3 linked regions of the Oreochromis niloticus genome follow. The protein of the gene in region 3 purifies or fractionates together with the protein of the main gene of each other region. This does not show direct contact. Links are inferred from orthologs where the notes say so. Each region holds a gene or a part of one and is shown on either strand. Other genes may lie near its edges.

The links. The genes of interacting proteins can lie anywhere in the genome.
Region 1: the proteins of nek2 (region 3) and anapc4 purify together in Homo sapiens (affinity purification with mass spectrometry; 6 studies listed by BioGRID and IntAct, with this or other methods). This does not show direct contact. The link is inferred for Oreochromis niloticus from reciprocal best matches to the Homo sapiens genes NEK2 and ANAPC4.
Region 2: the proteins of nek2 (region 3) and anapc7 purify together in Homo sapiens (affinity purification with mass spectrometry; 3 studies listed by BioGRID and IntAct, with this or other methods). This does not show direct contact. The link is inferred for Oreochromis niloticus from reciprocal best matches to the Homo sapiens genes NEK2 and ANAPC7.

What each region holds. Positions count from the first base shown.
Region 1 is NC_031986.2:37,126,143-37,129,896, forward strand, and holds the start of anapc4 (anaphase-promoting complex subunit 4), read left to right. Parts: upstream 1-1,277; 5' UTR 1,278-1,541; intron 1,542-3,631; 5' UTR 3,632-3,639; coding exon 3,640-3,747; intron 3,748-3,754. UniProt on the Homo sapiens protein: Component of the anaphase promoting complex/cyclosome (APC/C), a cell cycle-regulated E3 ubiquitin ligase that controls progression through mitosis and the G1 phase of the cell cycle.
Region 2 is NC_031977.2:6,448,678-6,452,431, reverse strand, and holds the start of anapc7 (anaphase-promoting complex subunit 7), read right to left. Parts: upstream 2,861-3,754; 5' UTR 2,744-2,860; coding exon 2,643-2,743; intron 2,160-2,642; coding exon 1,973-2,159; intron 1,440-1,972; coding exon 1,320-1,439; intron 666-1,319; coding exon 554-665; intron 391-553; coding exon 237-390; intron 145-236; coding exon 2-144; intron 1-1. UniProt on the Homo sapiens protein: Component of the anaphase promoting complex/cyclosome (APC/C), a cell cycle-regulated E3 ubiquitin ligase that controls progression through mitosis and the G1 phase of the cell cycle.
Region 3 is NC_031980.2:13,554,097-13,557,850, reverse strand, and holds the start of nek2 (serine/threonine-protein kinase Nek2), read left to right. Parts: upstream 1-1,201; 5' UTR 1,202-1,409; coding exon 1,410-1,505; intron 1,506-1,909; exon of another isoform or gene 1,910-2,000; intron 2,001-2,153; coding exon 2,154-2,371; intron 2,372-2,461; coding exon 2,462-2,702; intron 2,703-2,875; coding exon 2,876-2,958; intron 2,959-3,058; coding exon 3,059-3,185; intron 3,186-3,754. UniProt on the Homo sapiens protein: Protein kinase which is involved in the control of centrosome separation and bipolar spindle formation in mitotic cells and chromatin condensation in meiotic cells.

The DNA of each region.
Region 1 (3,754 bases), on a different chromosome or scaffold from region 3:
AGGTTAATGCAACAGAGAATTAAAAGGTTGTTCTTTTGACACAAAATAATGAAAATGTGTTCCATAAATAAACCAGGTATACACCCAGGAAGTCAAAAGCTCCTGAGTTATTTATTACAGCTGAAGTGTTTCTGCTGTTTCTACTGCTGCACAAAAACAGACATGTTAAAACGTGCATAAATGAATGTGAACAACACAAAACAGTTTCTTTGCAATGGATTTCTGAAGATTAAGAATGGCTAAAACTCTTTAGTGTCAGTTTAAAATGGCTTTGCACATCTGTCTGCTTTTTTAAGTGCTAAAAACCGTTTGCTTCAGTCTTCAGTTGTTTTTAGACTCATTAAATTCAATCATTAAAGAATACAGACATAAAATTGACAAGTCTCTGCTTTTTTTAGTTGGTGTATAACAATACAGAAAGGGCCATGTGTTGCATATAACAATGACAATGACAATTTTATTTATATAGCACATTTCATTACATGAAAAGTCGACATGAAAATGAAAAAATATTAATAACTCTGTAGGTTTAAAGTGCCCTAAGGCAGTGAAAACAGCAAAGCAGAACAAAACAAAATTTAAAAAAATAAAAAATAAAAAAACAAACAAACTTATAAATTGTAGGACTGTGTGAATAGAAAGGTTTTTACTCAGTTTTTGAATGTACATACAAATGTAATTGGTCTCAAGTCAGCAGGTAGCTTGTTCCAAAGAATAGGACCACAATAACTGAACCTACCTTCAGCATACTTAGATCTGATTCTAAGAACAGTTAAAAAGTCTAAATCAAATGACCTGAGAGGTCACACATAGCATTGCAATAATCTAACCTACCTGATGTGAATGCATGGACCAGTTTCTCAGAGTCAGCTTGTGATGGAAGTTTTCTAACCTTAGACATATTTTTAGTCAAGGTAACCTTATTGATGGGATTATCAAAACTGAGATCATTGTCCAAAATGATGCCAAGGTTCCTGACTTGCTCACTGTGTTTCAGAGAAACTGATGACAAATAAGAACAAATTTTTTGTCTTTGACTTTTTGGACAAACAACAAGTATTTGTATCTTGTTTCTGTTCAGTTCTAAACACATTTGATAAATTCACTAGTCAATGTAATCGATGCAGCTCATTAGTTTGTGAAAACATTTTAAATCATCAGAGGAGAGAAGTGAGAAGTACAACTTTGTGCCATCTGCACTTTTCCAGTTGTCATTTCAAGTTTCATTAAATTGCGTTTCTCTCTTAGTAAATTTGTCCCTTGCTTTCCGCCGTCGCTCCGCAATGATTGGTTAAAAGAAAAAAATGGCGGCGTCCGCGTAGTTGTAAAAACATCGCGAAGCCGCCTTAAAATTAAAATTTCGGCGGCGCAAGACAGTTTGGAACTCACTGTGTCGTATTATGGTTATCATATTTCCCCGCTTGTAATGTCCTAAATCATAAAAAATATTATCCATGGCCTTCTTTCTGCATTAGCTTGCTAGCAAAACCGCTAGCATAATATCAGTGGAACAGAAAGATCTCATCTGTCAGCTTTAAACGGTAAGTGAAGCTTCAGATTAGTTTAGATTTAGGTTGTGGTTTAGGTTTAGATATTTTATTTATTTTTATTTTTTAATGCCTGGCTGTTTTTAACAGAGATCATAAGAAGTAACCTCATGAGGTTCAGGAACCTGTCAGAAAACTATAAAGAAATCTGATTTTTATCAGTCAGTGAATCTGTTTATCTTAATGCACTATAACAGTGTTGTTTAATATGATCTCCATAATCATATTAGAGGTCCACGACAATACAGATACAGATTTATGACAACTTAAAGAAAAGTTCTGAATCTTTTGACCCTGTGTTTAAGGGGATCTTTTTTGGCGTATGAGATCATTTTACGGGCATGGTTTGGCTCCACTTGCCCCCTTTGGCCTGGGTGTTAAGCATAACTCTCAAGGAACAGTAGTGACCCACTGAATGCCTTTGCAGTGGGTAAAAATTACAGTTATGTCAGAAATTACTGCAGTTTTTCAAAATAATCTGCTGTCCCTTTTTTCCTTTAGAAAGCTCAGCGTATTTTCAGATTTTGTTTCAGTTTTTTTAATCATAAAGACATTCAATTTTAAATTCAATTCAGTTTTATTTATATAGCGCCAAATCACAACAGCAGTTGTCTCAAGGCACTTTGATATGACACCCCAGTACAGGGGCCAGTTCAGTATTCAGCTGAAAGTGGTGTGAGTGTTGTGTAGTGGTTACCACATTCACCTTCTTTTAAAGCTCCCTGGTAAGTGAGAGCGTTACGTCTGGTGCAAAATCTGCCAAATCAAACTCGTGGATTCATTTTATTTTCAAGGGAGAAAGGGGGGCCAAAAGTTACCAGCCAGTGGTGTGATTTACACCTCTGCAGGCTGAATTTGATCTAAGAGGCTAATGCCCTGCTACCTTTTCTCAAACACCCCTACCTGTCTGCTTCCCGAAATACCTGTACAGAAACTGTGGTTCACTACAGAAACGTTTTCTTTGGACAGGTACAATGAGTATGTTATCTGCAGGTTATATTAATTAATAAAGCATTAATACTTCAAGCGCCGCTCCGAGCTGGCAGCGAGTATCAGCAGCTCCGACCTGACCGAGTCCTTTTTTCTCTTTAATTATTCTATATGTTTCATTTAATTTTTGCAGAGACGAGCATCAGTAAATAATGATCATTTAAAAAAAGTGCACTCACAAAAATGAATCAGGCATTAGTTACATCTATCTTAGTATATCTTATCTTGTGTCTTATCTTGCTTGAAACAGCCCACGGCACAAAAAATAAACAGAATGGTGAATCAATTAAAAAACAGCCTGGTGGTATCAGTGTTTAAGAAGGTCACTATACTGTATGTACTAACCTTGAATTTAAGGCTAAAAAGACAGCTGTAATATTGAGATGTTAATAAATCATCTAGTTATTTTATATATAATTTTTTTTCCTCTTCATTCTCTTATAAAAGAGACGACAAGGAACATGTTATAACTGGAAAAATATATCTACATGGAAATTGCATATATTTTTAAAGACATATTAGACTCTTTAGAATCTACATTTTAACACAAGTAACTGTAGTTTCAGAATGTATTTGTTTAGTAATTTTTCATTCTTAGCATTGATTTGCAGAGAAGAAATCAATGCTAAGGTACATTTAATGTGTTCTGGCAGCACTTGGTGGCCAAACATCTTACTAAGAGACCTGACTTTAGTTTTTCCTTCAACGTCAACAACACTAATAGTACAAATAATTAGCTAAAAAAAAATTGAAGCTGTTAATTAGTTAGTTTTCTGTACTTTTTGCAAATAACCGATTGATAGTAGTGTCTGATTTGTGAATTGTAATAATATTGTTGATCAGTATCACAGTGAAAAATGTATTTTTTTCAAGGGAGGTAATGAACATACTATTTGTTTCTGCTGTCAAATAAAGAGTTTGACATAAGCACAATAGTGTCATTCTTCAACAAAGGCTCAGCTGATTTTTTTGGCTCTGACACAAATAAAAGCAAAACTGTACAGAGAAAACGTTCACGAAACGCTTAACAAAAAATGTGTTTTCCAAGTATTTTTGAAAGCTGATATCTCTTATTTTTATTAACATTTTTTCAGCCAAGAAAATGCCTGCCTTTCGGCAAGTAGGAGAGAAGCAACTTCCTAACCCTGTACTGTGTATGGCATGGTCTCCCAAGAGGGATCTGATTGCTCTGGCCAACACAACTGGAGAGGTACTAT
Region 2 (3,754 bases), on a different chromosome or scaffold from region 3:
CCTTTGATGAGGTAAGGGTCCAACATCTGGGCTTGTTCAAATTTGAGAATTGCATTTTTCGTGTCACCTGCCCTGAAATAGACATCTGCCAGGCTCACCAGGAGGTCCACGTTGTCCCGCAAAAGTGATTTCTTCTCCAAAGAGCTGAGAGTGTTTCAGGGAGGAAGTTAAGACTGTCACAAAACATGGCTCACAATATTCAGTCACTGTGTACAAATCATTATTGCTTTGCTCACCAAATGGTATTAATAGCTCTCTGGTTATCCCCTGCATGTATGAAGGCGTACGCTTTGATCCAAACAGACAGCCAGTCAAGGTTGGGGATACTCTGGATCGCGTCCATAGTCATGGAAGCCACCTCGGCTCCTTTGACTGACAGAGAGAGAAGACCTAAAGGAAAAACACATTTTTCAATTGTTTAAAAGAGATGCTAAATCCAAGCAGACAGTTTGTTTTAAAGCGGCATGGACATAGGAGAGGACTGCAGGTACAAACATCTTAGCAGATGAAGTGCTGCTTGCGAGATTACAGAGTCTACGGTGAACATGCATACCAATGATTGCATCCAAGGCAAGAGGGCACTGTCTGAGGACCTCTTTGTAACTCGTCACAGCAGATCGCTCCTGTCCAGCTTTCCTGTACAGGTTAGCTAGCATCATGTTGATCTGAGGCAGGAAGGAATGCAAAAAGGTAATTACTACAACTTATACAAGTTACTGCACTTGAGCTGGTTTCAAAAGGTTAAATAGAGCTTCATACAGTTCCATATCATATGAGCCCCATTTCAACAAAACTGGACGAATAACTTAGGAAGAGTAGAGTTCTGAAAACTAGTACACAACACTGCTTTGGCCCTAAATTTACCAGAATTCAGGGGTCAGAATGAATGTAGGTAATTTCTGATTTCAATTAATGACTTCTGTTCTTATAACTAATACCCTAGCATATCATGAAAACCAACCAACTAACAAATTTTAGCATCAGTGAACAAATTTTAGTAAGGTTTGTTAAGATTCATTTCAGTCGTATTTTTGACTGTAGACCAGTCTTTGGCTTCAAACTGTAACTGTCACACTATTTCCAATTAACAGATTTCATACTGCTAGTTTTTACTTAGAAGGTGATTTTACTTTAAAACAACTACTGCTGAATTGTTACCAAACCTAAACTTGTAGGTACATTCATTATTTAGTTCTAAAGCAACTATTTGAATTCACACAGTTACTAGTCTAATCAGTTAGTATAAAAAATAAATAAATACATAAAACTAAAGCATGAGGTAAACAGTGACTGACAGTCACTGTGTTAACAGACTGTACCTTCGGAGTCCTCTGTCTGGATGGTATCCCATCGAGCACTGCAATGGCATCTTTATCCAGTTTCAGAATGGTGTAGCACTCAGCTATTTTGTACTTTACCTCAATCTCTGAAGGCAAACTCTGAAAGACAACATTCATTGTAGATGTACATTATTCTAACCAGTCATCCTGTGCTCTGGATATTCATGTGGTGCTGCAGGACATCTAAAACCATCTTTACATTTAAGGCATTTTAATAAATCACTGGCAGGATGAAAGCCTTAGATTTACGTTGTGTGAAAGTAAAGTAAAATGAGATTTTAGTGTTGTTAAAAAAACAAACAAACAAAAAAAAACACAACTGCAGGTAAAGACACCTCAAATTACCAGAATGTTAGTGGCTGATAAGGATCTACATTACTCCAGTCAAACTTTATCAAATGTAATTATTAAATGTTTCAATGAGAAAGGCAACTTTTAATTACTATGGAAAGAGTCAAAAATTCGGGAGAGATGTTGGGCGTCAGCAACCCTAATGTTCAATTCTGTGTCAAGCCAAGCCAAGCCAAAGATTTCTATAACAAATTTAAAATAAAAAATAAAATCCCCCAGGTGACCAAAGTGCTATTATAGATTTCAGGGGTTTTTTGTTTACAGGAAATTGTCAAACACACCTGTGCCTGTATGTTAGAGGCAGCTCCACCAGTTGAAGTACGAACTTTTGATGTTTTGCTGAGCACCTTCTTCTGTTGCAGAGCCATGCTGTATTTGCAGGCAGCGTTGCGATACTCTTTGTCATGGAAGATGGCATCAGCATGGTAAACCAGCAGCTGGTACTTCTGAGCCGGCGAGAACAGCTCTCTTCCATTAAAAAAAACAACAACACACAAACAATAAAGTGCTCAGACTGAGGAAAACCATCAAAACTGAATGACACACGAAAAAACATCAATGCACAAACTCATAAAAATTGTCCTACACAGTTACCGTTTTTAAGTCAGTCACTCTAGAGTGTCAAAAGTATGACTGGGTAAGAGAACATTTACGACAAGTTTTCTAATACAATACTAGCTAAATTTCAAGCTATTTCATAGCAGCATTGTTAAGTGCATACGCTTGTAGATGCGACTATATAGTGAAGGAGTACACACAGTGTAAACAATGTATATAATTTAAATTGCACTCGCATTTAAACACTATCCAATAATGAGTGGATAATGAAAAGCTTCAGTAGAAATAATAATGTTAGCTGTTGTTGACTAGTTAGCTTGGGGGTATCGCTACCACTGGTATTGAAAAGCAGTCTTCGGGAATTAGACGGTTCCCGCTCAGACCACGACTTACGGATTGTTGTTGCTCATCGTCAGCAACAAACTACTCAAAATCCGGACATTAGAGTAAAGGCCTGCTGCAGCCATATCCCGCACATAATCTATTACATTCATTTTGGATTATTTGAAAGGCTCGCTGTAGGTGTCCGGCTCAGGTTAAAAGTTTGGGCTCTGGAACGGCTAATGTTAGCTAGCATGTGACGCATAAGACGTCCAACGGCTGACCTTCCTTCCGCATAGTGCTGCGTTTAAATGCTCTTCAAAAGCTCGTATATTTTCAAAACTTTAAAATAAAAACCTGCCTGAAATCTTTGATGTTGAGTAAAATAAGTATTTTATCGACTTTACTTTTATTTTAGGGACGTTGGACGAGAAATTACATTTTACAAAATATTTTACAGACCAAGGCGTCTTTATTTAATTATTCTAAATTTGTTGAATCTCACATGTCGCGATAGCTTTGAATGCATCATATTTGTTTTTGCTGCAGCACTATTTTTAAAATAGTTGGAAATTTTGTTTCAACTATTGACCTAAACTGTCGTATTTTATCAAATCACGCTATTGCAAAATTCTGTAATAAAAGTACGTGATATAATTATAATATATTAAAACAGTTTACATTGTCGCTAATCTAATATTAAAATATGAGTCAAAAACAAAGGCTTCAGACTACCCTATATGCTAATTTTGAGATAGTGGATGAAATATAATGAAGGTAGCAGTGAGCCCCACTATTATACGAATAAGGATTATTTTGAACTGTTAATGGAGCTGGAAAAGAGTATAACACGTTCTCTTTAATGCAAAAGAACGGTGAGCTTAATATATCATCTGATTTTCTTTAGATGTGTACACATGGTAGCTTTCCAGTAGTGGATTTCAAAATATTATTTGGTTTTCATATGTACCTGTTTTCAGTGATATCAAGTTTAATAGCAGGAAATCTTTTTCAAGTAACCTATATTTGACAACAGCTTAATAAAACTGGAAATTCTGTTTTTGGTGTGCCACCCCAATATTTTAGTGGCCCCCATATGGCCACCCTTTTAAAAATATTCTGGAGACGCACCTGCTTAAGAATTGTCCATAAAGATACCACTTGAATAAGCACTGTTACTTGGG
Region 3 (3,754 bases):
AGACGACTACCAGCTTTTAACATATGCAGTCTTGGGCACTGACAGTCGGCGACCTTTTTGTGTCTCCGAGGATCATTCTGCACCAACTTCAGAGATGGCAAACATTTACACAGATGCATGTTTTTAATTTGATCTTTCAGACTGCTTCAGACCTCATTTAGGTTTTCCAATGATTTCACATAGCCTTAAAAAAAGTTACTTGATCCTTTGTTATGGATATATTATTGAGCGGTTCCCTTCTTTGCATGATTAATATTCTAGACAGCTACTCCTGCTGTTCCTTGTAAAACCATAAATCCCAGTCCCCCAGTACAAAAGACAGGCCCAAGAGGTAAACAGAAGCGTTTGTCAAACAAGTAAAAATTTTTTGTCTTTACATATTTCAAGTTATGTTGTGCATACCTTACATGTAGAAAATAAAAGCCACAGTGTCATACTAACCTAACAGAATTACATAAACACTAAAAACTGCCAGTAAATATATTAATTCTCAGATGATTTTCAAAAAAATATTCTGCAGAAAAGGTTAAAAAAATATTTAATTTTGTTATTATGTGTCTATTTAAAAGAGACACTTTTTAGATCCCCATATATCTCCGCAAAACAATCTAAAAGGTTTTTATCTTTTCTCCCCATAGTTATTATTTTATTATATATAAATCATAATAAAGCTGGTTGTGAAAGAGAAATTAAATCTTATTGGGAGCTCAAAACCGGCAGTGCTGCTGAGGTGTCGTTCGGGCCACACGTGACTAAAACCGCATTCTTTTTATCAATATGCGCAAAAAACCCCCTGTACATACTATCTCCTTCCACTCCAGAGAGGAATACATTTAAAAAAAAGAATGGCAAATCCCAGTTCCGCCTTCTTTTTTTTTTTTATCAAACTATCTTAAAATCCAATTTTTCTGAATAAATGAATTTCCTGACCCCGTTTACCTTCACGCTGCGCCGATGCCGGCTCCCAAACGCGCGGTTGCGCTCACCCGGACCGTGCGATTCTGGCGCCACCTCGTGGAGAGCCAGAGCACAACTCCTGTGTGTCGTCTACCCGCTCAACTCTCGCGGTACTCTGGGGCTTTGCAACCTCACAATTTGCGTCTCTGCGCTGACCAATCGGCTGCCAATCAGCTGCGCGAGCAAGGCCAATCACAATATCAAGGATTTCGGCACCAATTTAAACAGAGTAATCACTTCCTGTTTTGGTAGTTAACACACGATAGAGGAAAGAAAGATAAGTAAATGAATCTTAACCATTTAAACATGTACATAGACAGAAAAGGCGGCTTAGGATTAAACTGAGAGCCTGTATTGGAAGACGCTACCCCCAGTTTACATTTACGTTGTCGTCAGCTGACGGTGACGCCAGTCCGGTAAGTTTTGAACGTTAGAATCGGTTACAAATCAGCATGCCGTCCCGGGTGGAGGACTACGAGGTGCTGCACACTATAGGCTCCGGATCATATGGAAGATGCCAGAAAATAAAGCGAAAAGCTGACGGAAAGGTGAGTAAAACACACTTCCCGCACACCTGTGGGTTAAACTCACCTGTTGCCCGTTAGTCCGCGGGGCAATATTGTCGCAGTCATGTTGTTTTTTCTCCCCCCACCTCAAGAAACTTTATATCAAACCGTTAACAAATGGCTACCTGCCTGTAGCGTCACAGAAATGTTTGAAAATTTAAGGTGTTAGCTTGTAATGTGGACCTTAGAAATGAGCAGCTTAACATTAAAAAGGTCGGTTATTAATGACTTAATATTTTATGTGAATTTTTATATTCACATAAAATATGTGAATATTTTATGATATCACCCTCAGTCATCACACCTGAATCAAATGATTAGTTCATTACCAGGCCTCTAGAGAACTTCAAGACATGTTGAGGAGGTAATTTAGCCATTTGAATCAGCTGTGTTGGATCATGGACATATCTAAAACCTGCAGGACACCAGGCCTGGAGTTCCCCCACTCCTGTTCTAGAGTAAAGACAAGTTGCCCAAGTTAGCTTTACTTTTCCATAGCTTCCACTTGTCTTCTGTCTACGACACTGGTCTTTATTGAAAGACATTCTCTGCTCTCTGATTCAGATAACCACCATTCTTTGAATTTTACCTCTGTAATTCTGGATAATTAAAAGCTGGTTTGTATCGTAGATCCTGGTGTGGAAGGAGCTGGATTATGGCACCATGGCTGAGAGTGAGAAGCAGATGCTGGTGTCAGAGGTGAACCTGCTGAGGGAGCTCAAGCACCCAAACATAGTGAGGTACTACGACCGCATCATAGACCGGACAAACACCACTCTGTACATCGTCATGGAGTACTGCGAAGGCGGCGACCTGTCCAGTCTCATCAGCCGCTGCATCAAGGAGAGGTGGGGTTGAATGCTAAATGATACTGAAGGTTGCATGCTGGTGTGTCCTTTCCCTTCACAGGTGTATGCATGTGTTTATTACCTTGACAGGCGCTATTTGGAGGAGCAGTTCGTCCAGCGAGTCATGGCCCAGCTCACGTTGGCCCTGAAGGAGTGTCACAGGCGGAGTGACGGCAGGGCCACCGTCCTTCATCGGGACCTGAAACCAGCCAACATCTTCCTCGACATCAGGCAGAACGTCAAACTGGGTGACTTTGGCCTGGCGAGGATCCTGAACCATGACACCAGCTTTGCAAAGACGTTTGTCGGGACGCCGTACTACATGTCTCCAGTGAGTGGCTTCATGCTGCTGGAGTTTGAAGCGTTTAACCTGAGCTTACAACTTTCCTTGCCTGAACTTTTGATTTTATTCTTGTTTGCTAATCTTTGTTTTACTTCATGATAAAAAAAAATAGGGACAAATAGCTTAATAAGCATTTAACACTATCTCTTTTCTTCTGTCAGGAACAAATAAACCGGATGTCATACAACGAGAAGTCCGATATTTGGTCTCTGGGATGTCTGCTCTACGAACTCTGTGCCTTATCGTAAGTTTTCCAGCTGTTCCGCTTTAGCTGATTTTCCCACTGCAAACTGTTTGGCTGCAGATCTTGCAGTTTTTCCTGCATTTTTCGTTTTCCTCTCCAGGCCTCCTTTTACTGCTTACAACCAAAAAGAGCTGGCAGAAAAGATCAGAGAGGGGAAGTTCAGAAGGATCCCGTACCGGTACTCTGAGGAGCTGAACACCCTGCTCGGCAAAATGCTCAACTTAAAGGTTGGAATTGAATTTATTTTTAAAATTTACACGATATGGTGCCTGAGCTATTGGATTATTTTAGACGGTATAAAAGATGGACTGCATGTCCACATCTGGAAAAGGGAATCCTGTGCAGAAATACTTCAAACCTTGCATTCTTTCTAACAGCCTGCAGGGGGCAACTGCTCTAGTTTTAGTGCTGTCCATGGCAAACTGGCCCTCAGCTCCCTCCCTAAACACTTTCCTCATGACTTTATGGAGTCAAGTGCTAGTTTTAGGTCATTGAATAAAACGTGAAGTTAATTTTATAAATTCTAGTTAAATGAGAACTCTAAGCACTTTTTACCACCACCCACATTCACCCATTCTCACACACATTCATACGGTGCCTTTAGGTGCTTTTTCTAACTTTCTCACGCTTGCTCACTCTCCGGTAGATCCTGAACTGGGCCAATTTGTTGTTCAGTATCTTGTCCAAGGACACTTGACATGTGGATTGCAGCAGCCAAGATCAAACCACCCACTCTACAAATAGGGCAGCTGTAGCTTTACCTCCCAAGCTACAGCTGCCCTGGAGTAGAATCAGA